2 linked regions of the Sus scrofa genome follow. The protein of the gene in region 1 binds, or shares a complex with, the protein of each later gene. Links are inferred from orthologs where the notes say so. Each region holds a gene or a part of one and is shown on either strand. Other genes may lie near its edges.

Region 1 (3,809 bases):
CAAGGGCAGCCCTACCTCATCTGCATCTCCACGCTCAGGCTGTGGAGGAAATGTCCCGCGAAGGCCAGGCAGTCCACAGGCGTGAGCGTGGCATAAATCCAGCCTAGGGAGACAGGGATGGGGCCACCTCTTCACAGCCTTCTCACGCCAGGCTCCTGGCAGCTACCTGGTCTGGCTTGAGCCATTCGCCATGCCCCTACCCATCCTGGAAGGTGCTCTGGCCCTGTCATGAATGGGTGGCCCTCCCAGAAGGAAAGACTGTGTCGGAGCTGGCCCGGTCTGTCCACTCCAGCCCGGCATGGTTCGGACAGGGAAGCTGAGGCCCAGGAGTCAAGGGGACCTACTCAGACCCACCCCAAGGTATGGCTGCCAGCAGGCCTGATCTCCACCTGCGGGGCCGGAGAGAGGCAGGCAGGGCTGCCACACCTCCTGGGAGAGTTCAGTTTGTCTCTACAGCATCCTCAGAGATGGAACCTGGACCAGACTTGGGGAAATAACTGTGACTGTAGGAAGGAGGGTGGGGCTAGAGCAGGAGGGACGCTGAGGCACATCAATCAATGGAGATGTGGGGGCCTCCTTACACAGCAGTGAGAAAATCTGATTGACTACCCACTGGGCGACACCCAAGGGACTCTTAACCCTTCACCCCTAAAGTGTGATGACGGTGTAATTACATTATTTTTAAAAGGAAACCTTACATAGGGACATATTTAGGGGTGAAGTAACATGACATCTATAAAGGGCCTTTATCTGCTCACATCATGGTTCCTCCTCTTGCTTATGCTTAAAACATGGAGATGAGCAAACACCAGCTCTACAGCATGGCAAGGCTCTCAGAGATGGGCTCTTGGGGCCCCATGCGATTCCATGCACCTGGCCTCCCTGAGCACAACTGGGCCCACAGAGCAGGCCCCAAGGAAAGGAAGCAGACAGCCAGGATGTGACCTCCCCTGGCAGTCATCAGCAGTGGGGGCGCAACACAGGGACAAGGCACTTACCTGAGGGGATGAAGAGTGTCTGGCCCTGCTTGAGGGTGCATTTGTAGCACTTGTCCACCTGGTCGGCAAAGAACATTTCGCTGTGGTTTGAGGCTGACTGCCAGCGCTCGTACAGGGAGATGTTGGCCGAAGCTGGCTTGATGAGATAGAAGATCTTCTCCCCCTGCCAACAAGAGGCCATTGGCAGAGCCTGTCATATGCTGGAGATGCTGGGGGTGGGCAGAGCCCACCATGTCCTGGGGATGCTGAGGTGGGGGACAGAGCCTACTGTGTCCTGGGGATGGGTCCTGGCTTCAACACCATCCTGCCCAGGCCCTGAAATTGGGGCCACGCGTGCTTTGCAATTCAGAAGTCTGCGTGTTAGGAAGATTCCAGGCATAGGAGCCTCTAGCATGTTCTGGGCAACCCCCGCCACTCCGCACACATCTCCACAGCACCATGGATGCCGTCCGTGCCAAGGGAAACAAAGTTGTGACCTGCTGTCTGATGAGTTACAGGGAAGTTCTGCTCTGGGGGAGGCTTGGGTCCCATCTGGAGACGAAAGGAGGGCCTGGCTGCCAGCCCCAGCCCAGCCCTGCACTTGGACTAGGGAGGTGGAAATGTCCTCACTTGGGGCAGACGGGCTGAGGGCAGGGGTGCTCGGGGGGGCAGAACTTGCTCAGGGCCTCAAAGAGCCAACATCAGAAGCTGCGCTGCCCACCCTATCCTGGGCTCCAGCAGGTCTGGGGAGACTTGGGGCCGGGTGGTGTGTCCAAGGCTTAGGGACTCCCTTTCTGTTGGTCTTCACAACTCCCTTTTCCCCCAGCATCCCCATCTGTCCCCAGCCAGCAGCCCCCCAGCTCTCTCTGCCACTCAGATGCCACTGCACTTTGCTCCCTGGGCCCCGGCCCACCCCCAGCCTCCCAATGGAGCATAACTCCTCATCCTCCCCTCTTCCAGGAAGTCCTCCCAGCACTACTCTCCTTTCCTTGGACAGGAGCACTTGGTCACCACTCCAGTGGGCTGCTCCCCCAACCCCCATGCCCCTCGAGGGCCCAACATCTGTGTCACTTCTATGGAGAAACATCTTGTCTCTCATTCCACCCGATGCTGGCCACTGGTAGGGCCTGCAAGGACTACCGTGGTCCTGCAGTCTGACAATGCCTGGGCGAAAGCAGGTGGTGCCCCTGAGGCCCGTGCAGGACCCATGTGGGGAGCAGAGGCCAGCACTCACCTTGAGCACATGGTACCAGGCAGAGGCACCCCCAGAGTCAATGTGGAAGTCAGTGTAGCTGTCCTTCACACAGATCAGGCAGTACTTGGTCACCTTGGGCTTGGCCAGCAATGCGTCATCAGGCCAGTAGTTTTCTACCCAGGACAGTTTCTTCACTATGTCAGGTGGCTCCACGAAGCTGGACATTCTGGGGGCAGGGACAGAAAGGGCAGTCAGCAGTGACAAGAAGTGTCGCCACATTCTGGGCAGGGCAGGAAAGGGGCTCTGGGTGCACGTCCCACAGCTATTTCTCCACCTCCAGCTACATGACACTGCTCCCATTCTACAGATGAGCAAACTGAGATTCAGAGAGGGCAGAAGGAGCCCAGCTGCTGGGCGTGGCCATGGCAGGCATCTAACACTGGGCTCTCCATCCAAAGACAGGCACAGAGAAGGCCTGAGAATCGTCTACCCCAGGGACAACTTCCATCCTGGAGAATTGCAGAGGCTTTTCAGGTGCGCTTATGTTAGTGCCACTGGGCACAATGGGCCCCAAGAGTAAACATCTTTGCTCATGCACAGCCCAGGAGCTTCCTGGCATCACCTACGGAAAAGCCACTGTCCCCCAGAGCACACAACAGGGTGCCTGCAACTCCTTGCTGTGGGACCACGTCAGACCCCATAACTTATCCCCAGGGAAGATATGAAAAGGCAAAGGCAGCCTTTGATTCGATTAAATGTCACCGTTCTGGACAGGATGCACAATACATCAAAACATCCAGCTCAGCAGCACCTGTGCAATGAGGTGACATTTCACTCAAGCCAAGACTGGGGTCTCAGTGTTCTTGCTGCCTCGGGCACAGTCCTCCAACCAAGACTGTGCCTACCCCAACAAGATGGTCACAAATCATAGGCCAGGCCACCCTGACCTCAACAGCCTCACAGGGCCTTCCTCTTTAAATTTCCAGCATAGGAGTTCCTGTTGTGGCTCAGCGGTGACGAACCCAACTAGTATCCATGAGGACACGGGTTCAATCCCTTGCCTCAGTGGGTTAAGGATCCAGCATTGCCATGAGCTGTGGTGTAGACTGCATACGCATCTCGGATCCTGCGTTGCTGTGGCTGTGGTGTAAGCTGGCAGCTACAGCTCTGATTGGACCCCTAGCTTGGGAACTTGCATATGCTGCAGATGTGGCCCTAAAAAGAACCCCCCCACACACAAAAAAAATCTCCAGCATATTTCAAAGCAATATCCCTCTCCATCCCTCATGCCCTGACCCCACTCACCTGGTGTCAGAGAACTCAAGGTTGGTAAGGTTAAGAACTCGCTTGCGGTTGGTGCTGTAGTAATAGTCCACGAACTCCTTCAGTTTCATCTTGCAGTCCTTCTGCTTGGTGACATCCGTCACGTCCACACTGCGCTCTGGACCTGGGGAGGCAGTGGGGGAGGGGGAGTGTACCCAAGGAAGATGGTTGGCCTCCCAGGAGGTTGGAGGCCCAGACATGCAGAGGAGATGTTGACTTGCCCTCAGAAAGTCACTGAGAGGAGGCTGAATGCTGAGGCTTTAGGCACCAACATCGGACCCTCCCCCACCTGAGGACCTCCTGGTGCAGTGGCA
Region 2 (3,909 bases), on another chromosome or scaffold:
GGAATATTGGTCGAAAGGGCCAAACCTATCCCCGAGTAAAAACATCTTGGTTCCACCACCTAGCTAAATGCTTTGTCAGGATGCTATCACCTTTCTAAATTAATCGTACACCCTTACTAAAAATTCCATGTTATCACTAAGAGTGTAGTTTTTCAAATGTGCCAGACACAGTTGACTACTTGTGTGCTGGGTGCTAAGTAGCCAAAGCCGACAAGAAATGACCTCTATCAGTGTAAAAGAAATCTTGCTTCAACAAAACACTACAATGGCAAGAACAGACTCTGCACCCAGCACGGTTCCCGACATAGACATCTGGTGATTATGTGAGTCCACTGCTGCTCCCTCTGAAAAATAACCCAGACAAGCTTGCAAAATATCCTACCAGTCTGAAATATATTCTCCAGTCCTATCCAGTTACCCTTCCATTCTCACAACCCATCAAGACCAATTTCCACGAAAGCCTCAGCACCGCACACAAAGAGGCAGCACTCAACTTCCCTTGGGTTCCTGTCCGCTACATGGAGATATCGGCATGTGCACTGTTCGCGTAAATCTAGGAACCATCCTTCCTCACTTGTTATATATAAGGTAAATGTTTAAGCTCTGCCCCATTTCCAGTAAGTTCTATTTATCAAATCAAAAATACTTTCAAAGTTCTACTTTTTAAATCAAAATTCTTCTTATAGCACATCATAACTTACTAGGGAAGGCTTTAAGGAAAAACATACATACAGCTGTCCAAGAAAAATCTTTTTTCTTTCCTAGACATCTGGGACTTTCACTTACCTATTTACTATTATTTCACATTAGTTCTCAATTTAAAAAAAAAAGCTGGCCTATTTAAGAAAGTTAATTTTAGGGTCTGTCAACATTTTGAATGCATGACTGTTATTTGTAAAATATACATTTGCATCCTGGAATAAGACTCGGCATAAGCTTTCCATATAACCATTTCCTGGGCACTTACGAACTTACTGTATGTCAGGTTCTGTGCTTGACACATTTCTCCGCTTTCTCATTTGTTGACCAAATATCCTCTCACAATTTCTGCAACACTGAACATTAAGAAGCCCTTACACTCTAAATCTCATCTGTTGTAGATAGCAGCACTAAATGGACAGTAATGCTGAACACAAGTTACTGCCATCAAATTCAAGTTGTTACTGCATTAACCCAGAATCTGATCAGCAACGCTGAGATGCACAGAGAACAGCACCCACGGCGGCTTCGGCAGAGAAAGCCAGTGTTAAGTGACAACTTGCTATATCAGAGGATGACCTGACCTTAACTACCTGTAAATGTAATTCCAATTACTATATGCCATTTTGGACAGCACAGACATAACCTGAATAAGATGATTATACAAAAAACCCTTGCCTCCCTCTGAAACTACTTTAAAATTGTACATTAAATCCTCCCCAAAAGCATCACACTTCCAAAGTCATGAAAAGCAAGATGCCTTTATTCTGAACGCTTAAAAATAATGCTGCCATACATTTTCTTTTAATCTTGTAAATTACAGCTTAACGGATGGGCAATTCTAGTTGAAAAAAAAAAAGAAAAGAAAAAAATAATAATGAATGAGGCCCTTCAACAGTTTCTTAAAACCACCACCTTCCCAAGAGCAAAACTGGTATCTCCAAACTGTTTCAAGGAGAGATGGGGGAGGGAAAGGACGAGTCAATACATAGCAAGAAGAGAAGAAAAAAAAAAAAACGGGGGGAGGGGTGACTTGACAGAAAAGTTAAAAAATGAGTGGACTTAACTGAAACCTAGGGTCTACCACATTTCCCTCTCAACCCGGAAACCCTGGTGCGTTTGTCGAATTTAAATAAAGCACCTAAGAGTTTTGAGACCAGAGCCAAAAATTATTCCGACGGTAGGAAAAACTATCTGTCGCCCGCGAATACAGCAGCATCAGCAAAAGGTGCCACCCTGCAGCTACGAAGACGGGACAAAAAACAGCTGTCAGGGGCACGCGAAAATCCCTTGTAAAATTCCGCCACCGGAGCTCGAACGCCTTGAACCTGCCGCAAGGGCCGCTCTCACCGGGCCTCAGCCGGACCTTGACAGCTAAGAAAGGCGCCCAGGCCTGGAACGCCAGCCCCGGGCGAGCAGGCTCCTGCCCCTATCTCAGGTCTCCAGGCCAACGTCGCCTCCCGAGATGCCCTCCTCACCCCACCCCCGCCCATCACTCCCGCCCACAGACGCCTGTCCCCGTTTTCAGAGAGCTCTCGCTTCTGCAAATGGTCAGTTTGGCTTCTATTCTGCTTCCCCTGCAGAACGTGAGTTCCAAGACCGCGGAGGGACGCCGCTGATCCAATCTGGCCTACAGAAGCCATCTCCCAGACCCGGCCTGAGCGCCCAGGATGCCGTGCAAGTCTGACCCGCCTACACGCCGTTCAGAACCGGCAACGGAGCCTTGGGGACCCGCCCGGCCGGTGCAGGGAGCCCGGGGCCGCAGCGGGGCCTGAGGGAAACCCGGCGAGAGAGGACGCCGGCGCCTCCCGAGGTCCCGGCTGCCCTGCCGCCCCGCGCCGGCCCGGCCGCCGACAGCCTCTCCGCGGCCCCCGCTCGGCGCCGGCACTCTTGCTCAGCTCCGCGCGCGGCTACCCTACCCGGAACCGCAGACCGGTCGCCTTCTGCCCAGTACGAACTTCCCGCCGCTTTCGCCGACTTGCAACTCAGTTGAGGCGCCGGCCCCGTCACACTCCGCAGTATGGAGCCTTCTCATTGGCTCGGGTGAGCGGGAGAGGCGGGGCGAGTGGGAACGCGCGAGCGGGGCGGAGCCTATGCCGGCCTTCTCCGCCTCCGCGGGCATGGCGGGAGCCGCGGACCGGCGCACCCAGTGCATGCTGGGAAGTGTAGTGTTTTACGGGCAAAGCAAGATCTCGGTCCCTCTTGCCCCGTGGGCACCTGGGAAATGTGGTATAGCGCCTCTAAGTCCATCTTTCTGGTTGAATGCTGTACCTGGCAATGCCTTAAGAACTGAAATAAATATTGCCAGTATTCTCAGTAGCTTTTTTAACCAATATGTTGGTTAAAAAAAAAAAAAAATTCAACCTTAAGGTTACCGTAGGTGTACGGTTGGGCAGAGGGAAGAATTGGGAGTGTAAGTATCACACACATTCTGACAGTTTATTGTATACCGCAGGAATCACCTATATGGGGAAAAAAGAAAAGGTATATTTACATGTATGACTGATTCACTTTGCTATACACCTAACACAACATTGTAAGGCAACTATACTCTAATAAAATATTTTTAAAAATAAATGTCACAGAGAAGCAAATAAATAAATGTGTTGACAAAGAGTTGGACGTAAAAGCAGCCCTATGTTCCGGTTTGGCCCAGTTCCTCCTCTGCCTACTGGCGTTTGCGTTTTTCCACCTGAGGATCCACACACTGCAGGCTCCTCCCACAGCAGCCTGGCTCTGTATACCATGTTCTGGCTCTGGAAGCAAACAGCTTGCAGATCAAATCCTTGCTCTTCCACTCTGTATCTTTATAACCTAGATTACTTAACCTCTATGAGTCTCAGTTTCCTGTTTCTGTCAGGACTAAAGGAGATAGTCTCGAGACAGTCCTTTTTATGTAGTAGATGCTCAATAAAGAGTAGACAGTATAAATATAATTCTGTCCGCTCCTAGCCATGACTCTAAATTCCACCTGTCTGTCGAACCTATTTCAGTGCCTACCTAACCTTCTGTAGTATTCCATCTGTAATTCCCTTATGCCACAGTTTGCTTTATAATCAATTGTCTCAGCCTCCATCACCCATGAGACTGTGAGCTTATCTTGGACCAGGATACTGTTCTAGGTCAAAATCACCAAAGCCATAGGCAGAGGGAGCTTTACAGAGAAACTAGAGAAGCTTAAGCAAGGTCTCTTCCAAAGCCTTCTGTTAG

The links.
Region 2: the proteins of PHF2 (region 1) and VRK1 are in contact, whole or in part, in a crystal structure (PDB 8F8Y), measured with the Homo sapiens proteins. The link is inferred for Sus scrofa from reciprocal best matches to the Homo sapiens genes PHF2 and VRK1. Residues at the interface, in NP_005383.3 of Homo sapiens: Tyr7, Tyr14, Val16, Thr17, Arg18, Phe19, Met20, Ile21, Glu22, Trp29, Glu39, Ala42, Ile45, Asp46, Tyr48, Lys64, Tyr145, Ser147, Glu150, Lys175, Val178, Asp179, Tyr182, Ser183, Thr184; in NP_003375.1 of Homo sapiens: Pro2, Arg3, Val4, Lys5, Ala6, Ala7, Gln8.

What each region holds. Positions count from the first base shown.
Region 1 is NC_010445.4:43,054,546-43,058,354, reverse strand, and holds part of PHF2 (lysine-specific demethylase PHF2), read right to left. Parts: intron 3,620-3,809; coding exon 3,478-3,619; intron 2,399-3,477; coding exon 2,212-2,398; intron 1,162-2,211; coding exon 999-1,161; intron 104-998; coding exon 16-103; intron 1-15. UniProt on the Homo sapiens protein: Lysine demethylase that demethylates both histones and non-histone proteins. Enzymatically inactive by itself, and becomes active following phosphorylation by PKA: forms a complex with ARID5B and mediates demethylation of methylated ARID5B.
Region 2 is NC_010449.5:117,941,759-117,945,667, reverse strand, and holds the start of VRK1 (serine/threonine-protein kinase VRK1), read right to left. Parts: upstream 2,705-3,909; 5' UTR 2,619-2,704; intron 1-2,618. UniProt on the Homo sapiens protein: Serine/threonine kinase involved in the regulation of key cellular processes including the cell cycle, nuclear condensation, transcription regulation, and DNA damage response.